Sus scrofa: one gene and its partner. The protein of the gene in region 2 purifies or fractionates together with the protein of the main gene of each other region. This does not show direct contact. Links are inferred from orthologs where the notes say so. Each region holds a gene or a part of one and is shown on either strand. Other genes may lie near its edges.

Region 1 (7,901 bases), on a different chromosome or scaffold from region 2:
TTGAAACTTGTTTGCTGAAGTTGTGGACTAATTTGCTGAAGGCGTGGACTAGAGTTTTCTCTTTCCCTTTTTTTTAGGGCTGCACTTGCAGCACATGGAAGTTCCCAGGCCAGGGGCTGATTTGGAGCTGCAGCTGCTGGCCTATGCCACAGCAACAGCAATGTGGGATCTGAACTGTGCCTGTGACCTACAGACCTACACCACAGCTGGCGGCAAGGCCGGATACTTAATCTACTGAGCGAGGCCAGGGATTGAACCTGCATCCTCGTGGATACTAGTCGGGTTCGTAATTTACTGAGCCACAATGGGAACTCCCTAAAGTTTTTTCGTATAGACTCTGTTGGCCCCTTTGGTGACTAATATAGGCATGCGTTGTATAACTAGTAATTCATATATGAATTGTTGAAGTCCTAGCAGAAGGGTTGTGAGACTCTTGTCATTTCATAAATAATTTGTACCAACATCTTTTGTGTTACAGCTGTTGCTTTAGAAGTATGCCTGACTGTTTTTGTTGTAGGGTTGGACTCTTTGTGACCACGAGGCATACTGCCCTCTGCCTTCGAGGCCTTCAGGGACTCACTGCTTATTGACTGAAGGCTAAATTCTTAAAAAAAGAAAAATTAATTTTTTTTCCCTTTTTAGGGCCGCACATATGGCATATGGAAATTCCCAGGCTACGGGTTGAATCGGAGCTGCAGCTGGTGACCTATACCACAGCAGCACAGGATCCGAGCTGCATCTGCAACCTACACACAGCTCATGGCAGTGCTGAATCCTCTACTCACTGAGTGAGGCCAGGGATCAAACCCGCATTCTCATGGCTACTAGTCGGGTTTGTTACCACTGAGCCACAGTGGAAACTCAAAAATGATTAATTTTTAATATATATATATATTGAAATATAGTTGATATACAATATTATGTTAGTTTCAGGTATACAACATAGTTAATTTACATTTATACACATTATGAAGTCACCATGATAAGTCTAGTAACCATCTGTCATCCCATACAAAGTTACTACAGTATCGTTGACCATATTCCTTATGTTATATCCCTGCGGCTTGCTTATTTTTATAACTGGAGGTTTGTACTTCTTAATCCTGTTTACCTATTTTGTCCCCTCACTCCTTCTCCCCTCTGGCAACCACCCATTTGTTCTCTGTATCTAGTCTGTTTTTGTTTTGTTTTGTTTATTTGTTGTTTTTTAGATCTATCTGTAAGTGAGATCATATGGTACTTGTCTTTCTCTGATTTATTTCACTTAGCATAATACCCTGTAGATCCATTCATGTTGCAAATGGCAAGATTTCTTTTTTTTTTTTTAAACAGCTGAGGAATATTCCATTTTGTGTGTGTGTATCTCACATCTTTATCCATTTATTCATCAATGGACACTTAGGTCACTTCCATATCTTGGCAATTGTAAATAATGCTGCAGTGAACATTGGTGTGCATATATGAAGTCTAAACTCTTCAGCATGGCCTTCACAACCTTTCAAGGTTTGACTACAAACTTGTTTACCAATGTTTTTCACCCACCATTCGCCCTCAGGTTTACCCTGTACCAAATAGAAGTGATCCACTCACCATTTTTTAATTTGTTTTTTATTTATTTTTATTTTTATTTTTAGGGCTGCACCCATGGCCTATGGAGTCCCAGGCTAGGGGTCGAATCAGAGCTGTAGCTGCCAGTCCACACCACAGCCACAGCAATGCTGGATCCAAGCTGTGTTTATAACCTACACTACAGCTCATGGCAATGCCGGATCATTAATCCACTGAGGAAGGCCAGGGATTGTACCTGTGTCCTCAAGGTTACCAGTCAGATTCGTTTCCACTGAGCCACGATGGGAACTCTACTCACCATTATTACTTTTTTTTATCTTTTGTCTTTTCAGGGCCGCACCCGCGGCATATGGAGGTTTCCAGGCTAGGGGTCGAATTGGAGCTACAGCTGCCGGCCTACGCCACAGTCACAGCAACGCTACCATTTTTTAAAGCTACCATGTGCTTTACTTTCGTTCTTCATTCATGCAGTTCTCTGCTAAGGTTGTATTCTCTCCAGCTCCCTCAAATTCCTATCTTTGAAGAGCCATTTCAGATACCAACCCCCCTACGAAGGCTAGTTAGTTGTTCATACATTCATTCTAGAAGTAAACTCTCCTTCCGCTGTATTGTTTTTGTAATGCTTTGTGCCCATTTTAATGGCACTTAATCATATTTTACCTTGCATTAATGTAATTTGTGTTCTTTCCACTTTTGCATCTGGGAATTTGAATTTTGTTTAATGTCATTAAGATCAGTTGAATTAGTCTGAGATTTATACATAGTGAGTTCTTATTTTTTTATTCCATAGATTCCATGTAACGGAAAAGCAGCCGATCGCATCCATCAAGATGGTATACACATCCTTGTAAATATGAATGGTTATACCAAGGGTGCTCGCAATGAACTCTTTGCTCTCAGGCCAGCTCCTATTCAGGTAAAGGAAATAATAATAATCACTCCCATTGTTTATTGGGCTAAGAAGACAGTGATGTGCTGCCCCCTACACCCCTGGTTACCTGGCATTTGAAACAATAGAGCAGATATGCTTGACTTACTAAAAAAAGTATAGTTCTTGAAAATGCACAGGTACAAATAATTTTGAGTGTAGAACACAGTGCCCATAGGTACATGTATATGGAAACATGCAGTTTGTAGTTGGGTAAAAAACAGTTGTTCTTTCTTTTAAATCGGAAAAATGTTTTAGTGCTAGAAGGTTAATCTAAAATATTTCTTGATTGCTCTTGGCTAAAGAAGTCCACCCTCTTTGTTTTGTTTGTTTACTTATTTAATTTTAGACTCTTTCTTTTTTTTTTTTTTGTCTTTTTGATATTTCTTTGGGCCGTTCCCGCGGCACATGGAGGTTCCCAGGCTAGGGGTCGAATCGGAACTGTAGCCAATGGCCTACGCCAGAGCCACAGCAACGCGGGATCCGAGCCGAGTCTGCAACTTACACCACAGCTCACGGCAATGCCCGATCATTAACCCACTGAGCAAGGGCAGGGACTGAACCCGCAACCTCATGGTTCCTAGTCGGATTTGTTAACCACTGCGCCACGACGGGAACTCCCTAATTTTAGACTCTTTTGATGAAGGTCTGATTTCTTTTTTCTTCTAGGCAATGTGGCTGGGGTACCCTGGGACTAGTGGCGCGCTTTTCATGGATTATATCATCACTGATCAGGAAACTTCACCTGCTGAAGTTGCTGAGCAGTATTCTGAGAAACTGGCTTATATGCCCCATACTTTCTTTATTGGTGATCATGCCAATATGTTCCCTCACCTGAAGGTAGGTAGAAAAACAGTGCTGTGGGGGAATTGCAAAGAACTGTAGTCACTTATTTCCTTGCTACTGTTCCTATCCATCCTAAAAGACATGTCTGAAACTTTTTTTCAATTAGAAAAAAGCAGTCATCGATTTTAAGTCCAATGGGCACATTTATGACAATCGGATTGTGCTGAATGGCATCGACCTCAAAGCATTTCTTGATAGTCTCCCAGATGTGAAAATTGTAAAGGTCAGAACCTGGTCAATATTGTCATTGAAATAAAGTTACCTACATTTGGGATCTTTTCCCTAATGATGTATTTTGTGTAATTATTTTAAGATGAAATGTCCTGATGGAGGAGACAATGCGGACAGCAGTAATACAGCTCTTAATATGCCTGTCATTCCTATGAATACTATTGCAGAAGCAGTTATTGAAATGATTAACAGAGGACAAATTCAAATAACAATTAATGGATTCAGTATTAGCAATGGACTGGCAACTACCCAGGTGAGAAGAGAATAATAGAGCATGTTGTGTACCACCAAATATGCATTTACTTCTAAATTTCATAATGCTAAGAGGTGAGCATCACTACTCCTGTTTTATAGATTAGGAAATGAATTCAGTAGAAATTGACATCTTCTAGGTTTGTTTTATTTTTATTTATTTATTTTTTGTCTTTTTGTCTTTTTAGGGCTGTACCCGTGGCACATGGAGGTTCCCAGGCTAGGGGTCGAATTGGAGCTGAAGCAGCTGGCCTACGCCACAGCAATGCAGGATCCGAGCTGCATCTGCGACTTACACCACAGCTCTCGGCAACGCTGGATCTTTAACCCACTGAGCAAGGCCAGGGATTGAACCTGCATCCTCATGGATGCTAGTTGGGTTCAGTAACCGCTGAGCCACGACGGGAACTCCAGTTTGTTTGATTTTTAAAATGTCTCTTGAATTCAGCCAGCAGGTTACTTAATGAGAGTTTTCTGTGTTAATATCTTGTTATTCCCTGCCTATGGTTTTACTCTTATCAATGGTGAATTGTCTGTAGGCATCATACAGTTTCTTGCTTCTGTAACTCATCCTTTCCTCAGTTAAAACTTACTCATCTTTAAGACACTGAGTTTAGACAGCTCCTCTAGGAGTCCGTTTTTCTCCGTATTCCTCAGCTCTCCTTCCCTGCCCCATTGATACCTATTTTCTCTGCTTCTGTGATATTTGGGTTATATCTTTACATCCAGCTCAACATGTTTTAATTCTCTGAGTTTGAATTGAATTACTGAATTGAATGACTTTAGGGCCTGTGTTTTAGCCACAGTAATGTGGTATGTGCTCAGTAAATATATATTGTATACTTGAATAAGTGAATATGTAAGCTCTGTCAAGAGAAAATAAGGGCAGAATCCCTGACCTCTTAGAATGAACACTTTTAGTGGCATAACAGTTTATATAAAGGATGCTTGATGTGAATTCAGGTAAAGGAATTAGTCACCCATAATGTGTATTGGGCTAAAAAAGACAGTTATATGTTTTTTTACTCCTTCGATTAACTGGCCTTTGAAACAATAGGGTAGGCATGCTTGACTTAAGGGGAAAAGATACAATTCTTAAATTGTATGTGTACAGGGACAAAGCATTTTGAGTGTAGAACACAATACCTATATGTATGAAATGTCCATCACACTTGGAATAGTTACATAATAGTGTAAGGCAGTAACCAGATGTATGGGAATTGTGAGATAAAACTGTAATTGTGTACATAGAAATAGTGATGATCAGTGTGAGGAGAGGCAGTCTTCGTAGAGATTGTTCGGAAGGGTAATTTAAATTTAGCCTTGAAAAGTGGGTGTGATTTAGAAAAAGACATTTCATTCACAGAGAAAAAAGTGAGCAAAAGCTTGCTGTTGGATTAATTGAGATTTGAAGAGAACTCTGGCTAGGGTAAGACTTTGCATAGTACAGTCTTCTCCAAATTAAGATAACGCTGTAGCTTTTTTCCTTTAAGGTATCATGAATATATTCTCATTATAGTTCAGAGACATGACTTTTAATGGTTATACCACTCCTACTGTATAGCATAGGGAATGATAATTCAATATTTTATAGTAAAACATAATGGAAAAGAATATAAAAAGAATATATATGTATAGCTGACTCACTTTGCTTTATAGAAGAAACGAACACACTGTAAATCAACTGTATTTCAATTTTTTTGTTTGTTTTTTGTCTTTTTATGGCTGCACCTGCAGCATATGGAGGTTCCCAGGCTAGGGGTCCAATCGGAGCTGTAGCCTGCAGGCCTACACCAGAGCCACAGCAGTGCGGGATCTGAGCTGCGTCTGCAACCTATATCACAGCTCATGGCAATGCCAGATCCTTAACCTACTGAGAAAGGCCAAGGACCCTCATCCTCATGGATGCCAGTTGGGTTCGTTAACTGCCGAGCCATGATGGGAACTCCTATAGTTCAATTTAAAAAAATGGTTATACCACTTTGCATCATAAGGATTCTTTATTGATTGAAAACTATTGGACTATGTTGACTTTAAATATAATCATCATTTTCTTTTTCTTGTTCTAGATCAACAATAAGGCTGCCACTGGAGAGGAGGTTCCCCGTACTATTATTGTCACCACACGTTCTCAGTATGGGTTACCAGAAGATGCTATTGTGTACTGTAACTTTAATCAGTTATATAAAATTGACCCTTCTACTTTGCAGATGTGGGCAAATGTGAGTATATGTGGATTCATTGTTGTCTAGAGACTCTAAGAGATTCTGTATATAGGCCATCTTGCTGAGACTGCCCTGCCCACCCCGCCCCCCATCTCCATTCAGGAGCTGTTGTGCTCATGTCTAATCTTCAAGGGTTGTAGATTTTCAGTGATTTTTGATTTTTCCTAGTGTCTAAATGTCACATTATGAACTTTTAGAATTTATGTGTCGAAAAGCAGGGATCAGCAGGCTTTTTCTTAAAAGGCCAGATGGCATAAATACTTTTGGTTTTGCCGTCTATACTCTGTCACATCTGTTCACTTCTGCCATTGTAGCAGGAAAACACCATATTCATTATGTGAATGAATGAGTGTAGGTATCTTCCAAGAAATTTTTATCTATGAAGACAGGCAATGTGCCAGATTTGGCTCACAGGCTGTAGTTTGCCAACCCATGGTCTAATCTGATAGCAGAGCTGTTAGGTACATCCGACCCATGTTTAACATCATTCTTCCAATATTGTAGAGTTATAACCAGGAAGGAACTGGTTTATGCCATTACCTTTCAGTTAGTTCATCAGACCAGTTTGTATAAGCAGGACATCTGAAGGTTCTAAACTTTGCTATCTGTATCTGGCTCTTATTCCATAGAGCTTTTTAAAATGGAGATAATTCTTGGTTTTTTTTCCTGATTACTATCTAGTTTTTTATCTGTTTTGTATTTTTAAAGGAGAGAGGAGAGTTGAGAAGAAGAAGCAGATGAGTACAGATTTATTGTCTCTTAATCTTCACCTCCTCATTAAAAAAAACCAAAAAACCATAAAAAAGCATGTTCATAAGTTCGTGATAAATTTATTTGGCAGCAGAACTACCTGAACTGAAGTTAGGCTATTTATGGTTCTTTATTTATTCCATTTAGTATGAATATTCCTACATCTTGATGCAAAAATAATATGTTTGTTTACAGGGAGCTCTTGCTGAGAGTGTTACGTAATTTATATTCACTGTACTAGTTTGTTTTTAAAATCTAAAATATTCTAAATTTCTCTCTCTCTCTCTTTTTTTTTTTTTTTTTTTTTTTTTGGCTTTTTTAAGGGCCACACCTGTGGCATATGGAGGTTCCCAGGCTAGGGGTCTAATTGGCGCTACAGCTGCCAGCCTACACCACAGCCACAGCAACACCAGATCTGAGCCGCTTCTGTGGCAACACTGGATCCTTAACCCATTGAGCGAGGCCAGGTATTGAACCTGCAACCTCATGGTTCTCAGTTGGATACGTTTCTGCTGGGCCACGACGGGAACTCCCAAAATATTCTAAATTCTGAAGTCCATGTTCTGAAGTCCATTGTTCCCGTGGCTTTGAGAGAAGGGATGGTGAACTTTTATGATACATTGAGTAGATGTAGATCTAAATTAGGGGTTGGCAAACTATGGTCTCTGGGCCAAATCTAGTCCACTGCCTGTTTTTGTAAATAAAATTTGATTGACACACAGCCTCGCCTACTTATTTAAATATTGCCTATGGCTGCTTTCCAGTGACAAGGGCAGAATTGAATAGTTATGAAAGGGTCCATGTTGGCACCAGAGCCAAAAATAATTTGCTCTCTGGTCCTTTACAGAAAAAGTCTGTTGACCCCTGACCTAGATTAAGCAAATAAAGTTTGGCAGATGTGAGCTAACTTTTATTTGTTGTGCCATGGTGGGGGATTTACAATTTGAAATGGAAAATTCCTATCTCATGGACCAAAACCACTGCTAGTATCAATTCCCATAGGCCATAGCTGCTTCAGATTTTGCCAATTAGCAAGTTGTTTTGTGTCTGCTTGCATCCGTCTCTTCTTTCTTTGAACTATCTTTGGGGACAGCTAAGCA
Region 2 (8,676 bases):
GAGATCTCCTATTACAAGGTGACACTCTAGACACTGAAAATATACTAATGAGCATGACAGCTGCCGTCCTTGTCCTCCCTGTTTTGCTGTCTTGCACTCATTTCTGGTCCTTAGTGTTTGGCTCATGGTTGAAAGATACGAAAGTCATATGTTTAATTGAATTGGACTGAGCATTTCAAGGTCATATTAGTAGTTGGCAGAAATTGTCCCTCAAAGCATTATTTCTTGAAAAGTTTCTCAATCATCATATCCTCATATAAATTGCCAGGTATGTAGCAGACATTCAACAGTCAATTCCTTTGCTGTCTTTTCCTCTTCCTGGCCCAGTCACCAAGTAAGCTAAATCTTGTTGCATAGTAGAGAAATGGAAACAGCTATTTATAAGTTTTGCAGGCGGGAAGAAGAGTTCAGATGTTTTACTTTTGTCCTCTTTTCTGGTCAGAATTTATTATAATAACATAATAAATTTATAATAATAATAAATTTATAAATTAAAATATTATATATTTATTACATAATAAATATAATAATATATAAACTACAATAGTTAACATTAATTGATGGCTTACACTCTACCAGGTGCTATTCTAAGCACTTGACATCTATTACTTCACGCAGACCTCATAATAACCCCTAGTAGAGAGAACTGAGGCTTAAAAAGTTTAAGTGGCCCACCCAACCTCTGAGAGGCAAAATGATCACAGATCAGTCAGTCTGAGTCTCCACAGTGAGAAAAATAATGGGGGGAGTTCTCTTGGGGTGCAGCAGGTTGAAAAAAAAAGGAAGAGGGGAAAAAAAAGGAAAAATAATTTGGTAGGGTAAGGTGGTAGGGAAAAGAGGTTTCTTTATTTTACCCTGGAAAGATTATATATTTCATTTTTTTTTTCTTTTTTGGCACGTGGATGTTTTCAGGCCAGGGATTAAATTTGTACCATGGGAGTTCCCTTCCTGGCACAGTGGAAACGAATCCGACTAGAATCCATGAGGATGCAGGTTTGATCCCTGGCTTTGCTGGGAGGGCATGGATCCTGCCCTTGGGAGATTGGTTGGCATTACTACACTTTTTGCAAAGTATAAAGACACCTGGTGGCCAATGATTTTTATATGATATGCGAATCAGTAGTATCAATGAAATGAAGAGGCAAAAGTAGAAGCAGGGCTAAGAAATTTGGCCTGATTAGGAATTATGGAGAGTGTCGCTGTGGGGGAGGATGGGTTTTTAAGAAGTAAGATCTGGCATCCTTTGAAGGATGGGTTTGAGTAGGGTGGGAGTAGAGGTAGAACATTTAGGGAAATCCAGAACTGAATGAAAATGATGTGAGAGAGGCAAATAGGCATAACAAATTGAATCAATACACACTAGAACAAACATAGTCTCTGGGGAATTATAATTCATTATTATTAATAATAATAACAACAAAATTATCCAGATCTGTTGAAGTTTAACAAGTAGGAACTGCATTACCACAACCCCTACCCTTGAAATTAAAATCTGGGAATGGAGCTCCAGAAAAGCAAAGTAAGGACAGCGGGAAAATCTGTCCTAGCAAGATCTGAAAACAAGCTGAGGTAAAATTCTCAGGCAACAGGGCTAGATGACAAGTCCCAGGCAATGGCTAGGAATGGAGAGCTGCTTCTTGAACAGACTATAGACCTAGGCTTTAGAGGGAGACGGTACATCCCTTGAGTGTTACGGATCATGCTATCACTAAAGAAATTGGTGAAAACATGACCGTATCAATTGCTGATATGGGGCTGTTTGACTGTCAATGGTTGAAGGGGAAAGATAAAGAAGTTTCCAGAAGCCCTCTCAGACGCCCTCTTAAGACTTGTGTACGTGTGTAAAAGACTCCTTTAAAAAAATGACGAAATGTTATGAATCCTCTTCTCAAAAAATACACAACTAACACATACAAAATACTTTCCATAATTTTAGAGGGGCCATGAGCTTCTGAAACGCATCCTTGGACTCCAAGATAAGTATTGTTCTCAACTGTCTTTTCTCCCAAGAGGCAGCCCAACTCTCAGTCTTATTTTAGAACATAGTAAATTTAGTAGACCGGAAGCAGCTTCTGGAAGCAGGTGGACTTGGGAGATTAGTAGGCATTACTGCCCTTTTTGCAAAGTATCAAGACAAGGACATTTCGATGGAAGATGCCACATTCTGTATCTTTCAGGAGGCAGTTAAGGTCATTACAAATAATGGTTTCTGACTACAGCTACAGCTGAATCATTCAGCAAATATTTACTGGGCGCCTGATATGTACAGGCACTGTGCCAGGGACTGAACTCACCCAGATAAAAAAGACACCATTTGTGTCCTTGATGAGACATTCACAAGTAAAAGTGTGAATGTAGTTATTGGTGGCCTTAAAATAAAGGTCACCTAAGTTTGAGAGGCACTCTGGGGAGACAGAAAGGACTCTGAGGCGGTAATTTGATTTTTGGTTTCACCGCATTCCAGACTCGTGAGTTTAGCAAGTCACTCAAACTCAAATTGCTTCATCTATCAGATGGCATAAACAGATAGGCTAGAATTACTGCAAACCTTCAAAAAGAGAGCCTTTATGAAAATGAACATAGACAAAAAAACGCAACTTCGAGGCTCATTGAAAGTGATACTTGGGAGGGTTGCTCCTAGAAGGAAGAGCACGGTTCTCCCCAGGATTATGTCTATAAAGTCACCGTAACGCCCTCCCAACGCGGTCAGAATCCGCTCAATAAACCTTCCGGGACGGATCAAGTTCCGCTTCCGCAGGTTTTTGCTGTAGGCGTAAGCGCAGGACGCCCGACGCAGCGCAGCGTCGGTCCTTCCCTTTGCGCAAGCTCGCGAGGAGAGGCGGAGAGCGGAAGGGCGGGGGCGTGGCTAGGCGCCGGGCACTGCTGGCTCGCTCTCTCCGCAGCCCGGCGCAGGTGGCGGGAGCGCGCGCGCGCTCGCTCGCGCGGCCGGCTGCGTACAGTAGTGACGGCCGCGCGGGAGCGGTCACATGACCGTAGCGGCTGCCTGTACAGTAAGGACCCAATATGGCAGCGGCGGTAGCAGTGGCAACGGCAGCAGGAGGACCGGCCGCTTCATAGATTTCCCCCCCCCACCCCCACCCCGCGCACCACCGCCGCCGCTTCCTCTGCTTGGGTGCTCCTCTGGCCTGACTTCCCCTTTCTCCCACCTTTCCCGGCACCGCGGGAAAAACAGCGCAGGGCAGAGCAGGCAGGGAGGGCGGCTGGAGCCCGGACACGGGAGCCTCCCAGTCAGTTCAAGACCCGACATGAGGGAAAAGGGCCGTAGGAAGAAGGGCAGGACCTGGGCGGAGGCCGCCAAGACGGTAAGGAGGAGGGAGCGGAGTGGAAAGCCAGGAGGTTTTCGTTCCTTCTCCGCCCACCGGTCGCAGGGGAAGCGGCGCGGGGTGGGGGGGTCAATGGTCCTGCCACTCGACTGAGGGGGCAAAAAACCGCGCGGCGAGGGCGGCGGTTAGTGTCGGGTTTGTGGTCCCTGTGGGAATGGAGGCGCCAGCGGAAGAGGGTCGCCACGGGGCTGTGGCTTCTCCCTGCTCTGCGACGAATCCTCTTGGTGTTTTGAAGCTGCTCTCTGGGTCGCGACGCTCTCACCCCGACTCCGTGGTAGCCCCCGCCCCGGCATGGGGAAGTCTGTTGTGCTTGCACAGTAACCGGTTCTTCTCCCTTTTGCGGCTGAAGAGCCCCCATTGGATGCAGATAGGAGAAGGCTTGTGCGTGCACCCAGCCCCGGAAAGAAGAGGGGAGCGCTGGCGCTGGGTAGAACCCACCCGCTGTAGCAGATCTGCCGCCTGACCCCGGGCCCCTTGCTTGTCTGGGCTCCCGGATCCGGCCGGAGGTCACGAGGCTCTTGTTTTATGTTTGCTGTTGCAGCTGAAAGTGCTGGAGGTGTTTAGAAACGAAGTAACAGGTGGGACTTGTAGAATTTTTTTTTTTTTTTTTTTTCTGTTTCCGTAGAGACCTACTCTGAACAAGGCAGCAAAGCATGGTGGGACGTGTAGTTTACTGAGCCTTGACTTTTCCGTAGCTAAAGCGATGGCCTCACGAAGTTGTAGTGGATAAAACCATCCTTCTTTCCCCCTTTTCTAAATTTATTATTGTGAAGTTTAGAAGTAGGTTTTAAAAAATAGAATATTGAGGATGAGTGAGAAGTTTTGTTTCATGAAAAAATTTAAAAGCGTGCATGTATGTAGAAATGAAACGTTTAGAGAAAGTCAGGTTCATTCCATCTTTGAGAGTGCAGCAGAGAAGTTGTGGGACACAAAACAGCATTTAGAGTTGGAAGTGAGAATGAGTGGAAGCATAATCTTAATGGTGAATGATGTCAATACTTGTACAACGTGGAGCACTCTTCTAAGTGAAGAGTTGTGTGGTTTATTTTTTAAAGGGGAGTTTAAATAAAAGTAATATATGTTAATTGTGGGAAAATATATGTTAAAGCTCTAGGATTTTAGTATCAAGAAGGAAATAAATCGTGTGTTTCATCCGTCAGAGCCCTGAATTTGAATTTATTTCCCGAAATCTGGGTCCTACTTGTGCTTTTTTTTTTTTTTTTTGTCTTTTTGTCTTTTTGCTATTTCTTGGGCCACTCCCGAGGCATATGGAGGTTCCCAGGCTAGGGGTCTAATCGGAGCTGTAGCCACCGACCTACGCCAGAGCCACAGCAACGCAGGATCCGAGCCGAGTCTGGAACCTACACCACAGCTCACAGCAACGCCGTATCCTTAACCCACTGAGCAAGGGCAGGGATCGAACCAGCAGCCTCATGATTCCTAGTAGGATTCGTTAACAACTGCACCAGGACGGGAACCCCTGTGCATTTGTTTTGTAAACGTTATGCCTTAGAGGGTTGATGAGTCTTACACTTGTATGTCTATTTTAGTTGGAAAGGTACAAAAGTTGATGAATAAATAAAAAGCACATTTATTTGTTAAGTGTTTTCACCTACAATATATCTTGATAATTGTGACCATTGGCCATTTCCCTCTAAACCGACTTAAAGAAAAAACTCTAGAAATAATTTTTTTTTTTGATAGTGGGGAAATTGCTCCTTCACAAAAGACTGTTCTACTGTTGTACCTGGTCAATACTACTTTACAATCTCTTTTATGAAACGAGAGGGTAGGAGTTCCTGTAATGGCCCAGTGGTTAATGAATCTGACTAGGAACCATGAGGTTGCAGGTTTGATCCCTGGCCTTGCTCAGTGGGTTAAGGATCTGGCGTTGCCGTGAGCTGTGGTGTAGGTTGCAGATGCAGCTCGGATCCCGAGTTGCTGTGGCTCTGACGTAAGTTGGCCGCTACAGCTCCTGCTAACCTGGGAACCTCCATATGCCTTGCGAAGCTGCCCTAGAAAAGGCAAAAAAAGACATAAATAAATAAAAAATAAAAGAGAGGGTAAACTTTATTATTATATGTAAGCAAATCCTACTCCTAATTAATTATGTTAATTAACTTTAAGTCTAGAAGCTTAAGAGTACTTTTTGAATTATCTCTGGATAAAATAATCTAGTCATTGGGAGATTGTGACAGGACAAATTTGCATCTACTGTTTAGATTTTCCTATAATAAATGAGAATATCCGCTCATTTTTAATAAGCATTTCATGCCATAGCTAGCTCTGTGAAAGTAGTATTTCAAAGATGGAATTCTAGCTTAATCAGTAGAGCTCTGAGTGAGTTCTTGACGGGGTTAGTGTATTAGTAGCTTGGTGTTTTTATTTAATTCTGGCACATGCATAAGACTTCAGTCTAAATAAAAATGAATTTTAGGAAGAGACTAGGGACACTGAAATTTATTTTTTTCTTGTAGCCAAAATCTAGAAAACACTACTCTTTTTTTGTTTTATCATTTCTATAGTGAGGAATTACACTAAACCTCAGTGTTAAAAAGGATTCTGTTTGTAGGGGGACTGTGTAGAAGTAAATGTGAGAGGAATAGACAGGAGTAAATCTTTCATGTTTTCAGACTGCAGAATAATGAGATTGGAAAATGAGTGGTTTGACAAATGGGAGTAACTTTGACCTAAATTAGAAAACCCTGTGAGTATTGATAAGATCGAGAGGACCAGGAGAAGTAAGTCTTAAACTTATTTCATAGGCATTAAGGTCAAATGTTTTAGGAACCAGAGTTTCAGAAAGGAAGTATCTGCCTCTTGTTGTGTTCTTGGTACCTGTGTTGTAGAGCTGTCCAGTTTTAGCGAGTGTTATTAGAATGGGTTCATATTCTTGACCAATAATACAGCAACAGATATATTTAATCAATTACTAATGTATATATACATATGTGTTTTGGAGTGTGTGTATGTGAGAGTTGCAAATTGATATTAAGATTGCTATGTGAGTTGCCATTGTGGCTCAGTGGGTTAAGAGCCAGATGTTATCTCTGTGAGGATGTGAGTTTGATCCCTGGCCTTGCTCAGTGGTTTAAGAATACAGTGTTGCCACAGCTGCAGTGTACGTATATCACAGAAGTGGCTTGGGTCCAGGGTTGCTGTTGCTGTGATGTAGGCCCCAGCTGCAACTCTGATTTGACCCCTGGCCCAGGAACTTACATATGCCACAGGTGTGGCCATAAAAAGAAAAAGATTTCTATGAACAATCTGAAAAGGCAAAATAAATAAGATTCATAATTATTATATAATTATAAAATTACTCGGAAAGGCTGATTAAAAATAGGCTATAGACTGGTTCCAATAAGTAAGGACAGAGAAATAATGGAGCTGAGATTCAGCTGAACTTGAATGCTCATTGTGTTCCCACTGATCTTATATTTTATATAAATATACTAGTTATAAAAAGATTATTCTGGAATTCCCATCATGGCTCAGTGGTTAACGAATCCGACTAGGAACCATGAGGTTGCGGGTTCAATCCCTGGCCTCGCTCAATGGGTTAAGGATCTGGCCTTGCTGTGAGTTGTGGTGTAGGTTGCAGACGCGGCTCGGATCCCTCGTTGCTGTGGCTGTGGTGGTAGGCCGGCAGCAACAGCTCCAATTAGACCCCTAGCCTGGGAACCTCCATATGCCTCTGGAGTGGCCCTAGAAAAGGCAAAAGACCAAAAAAAAAAAAAAAAAGTATTATTCAAGTATTTAGTTAACAGTCTTATATGTTTTAAATTTTAAAGGTGACAATAATAGTGGTGATGAAATGATTTGGATGAGAGATCTGTGGAGGCATGTTTGATGCAATTTAAATAGAAAAATTTGTAATAAGCCAGAGACACTAAGAACCATTGCACTGACTTTAGAACTATATTCAAAGTTAATGCTCATTCCTTAAAAAAAAAAATAGAAGACATTGTATTATGTAAATATTTGGTAACATCCCTGCAGAATTTAGCTTTTTTTGCAAAACAGAGCTTTCGAAATAGTATAATCTTATTGATACTGTTTTCTTTTTGATTTTTCCCCTTGTTACCCACTACATCAAGGGGAGTATTAAAAGGGAAAAAAAAGTTCCTTTTAGGACGGATTTGTTGTGATTATAGATGGACGGACAGAGAGGTAGACCTTAGAGATTGCACGAGAGGTGCTTTTGGGTATCTTTGGGGAGTTAAGAGGTCAGATACAGGAAGTGAAGCATGGGTGTTAGAGGTGAGAAGCATAGCAGAGTAGTGTAAATCTTTAGAATTTTATTTGTAAGAAAAAGTGGGCTTTTTTTTTGTTTGTATTTCACTTAGTGGTTAATACTGTTTTGAAAGTACTTTTTTTTTTTTTTTTTTTTTTTTTTTTTTTTTGTCTTTTTGCCTTTTCTAGGGCATATGGAGGTTCCCAGGCTAGGGGTCCAATCGGAGCTGTAGCCACTGACCTACACCACAGCCACAGCAACGTGGGATCTGAGCCGTGTCTGCAACCTACACCACAGCTCATGGCAATGCTGGATCCTTAACCCACTGAGCAAGGCCAGGGATCGAACCCGCAACCTCATGGTTCCTAGTCAGATTTGTTAACTACTGAGCCACGCCGGGAACTTCTGAAAGTACATTTTTTATTTACGTCATTTACCTGAAGTTATTTAACTTGAGGGAATAAGATGGAAGATGGAAAATTTCTTTTTTTTTTTTTTTTTTTTTGACCACAGTGTGCTAGCGGGCTTGGTGTGGGATCTAAGTTCCCAGACCAGGAATTAAACCCAGGCCACAGTGGTGAGATCTCCAAATTTGAACCACTAGACCACCAGGGAACTCCTAGAAAATTTCTGTTAAAATGAGTAACACTCTCAGGCTAATTACTTTTATGTGAAAGTATTGAAAATGAGTTACTAAAAAATAAAATGGTAAAATATATGTAATGATTAGAAAAAAATAATAAAATACACACTAGGAAAAACATACCTGTTAGAAATGTTCATTACTTTTTTCCCCCCTTTTTAAGGCTGCACCTGTGACATATAGCACTTCCCCGGGTAGGGGTCATATTGGAGCTGCAGCTGCCAGCCTGCACCACAGCTACAGCTGGATCTGAACCGCATCTGAGACCTCACTGCAGCAACATTGGATCTTTAACCCACTGAGTGAGGCCAGGGATTGAACCCGAATCCTCATGGACACTATGTCAGGTTCTTGACCCTCTGAGCCACAGTGGGAACTCCTGTATTCTTAAACTCTACCATGGATAATTTTCTTCATAAAAAAATAAGGCTAGGAGTATGGCCAAGCCTGTGATG

Evidence for each region.
Region 1: the proteins of ASXL2 (region 2) and OGT purify together in Homo sapiens (affinity purification with mass spectrometry; 3 studies listed by BioGRID and IntAct, with this or other methods). This does not show direct contact. The link is inferred for Sus scrofa from reciprocal best matches to the Homo sapiens genes ASXL2 and OGT.

What each region holds. Positions count from the first base shown.
Region 1 is NC_010461.5:57,543,362-57,551,262, forward strand, and holds part of OGT (UDP-N-acetylglucosamine--peptide N-acetylglucosaminyltransferase 110 kDa subunit), read left to right. Parts: intron 1-2,359; coding exon 2,360-2,485; intron 2,486-3,166; coding exon 3,167-3,337; intron 3,338-3,449; coding exon 3,450-3,566; intron 3,567-3,656; coding exon 3,657-3,827; intron 3,828-5,895; coding exon 5,896-6,048; intron 6,049-7,901. UniProt on the Homo sapiens protein: Catalyzes the transfer of a single N-acetylglucosamine from UDP-GlcNAc to a serine or threonine residue in cytoplasmic and nuclear proteins resulting in their modification with a beta-linked N-acetylglucosamine (O-GlcNAc).
Region 2 is NC_010445.4:113,041,925-113,050,600, forward strand, and holds the start of ASXL2 (putative Polycomb group protein ASXL2), read left to right. Parts: upstream 1-2,863; 5' UTR 2,864-2,987; coding exon 2,988-3,323; intron 3,324-3,335; exon of another isoform or gene 3,336-3,922; intron 3,923-8,676.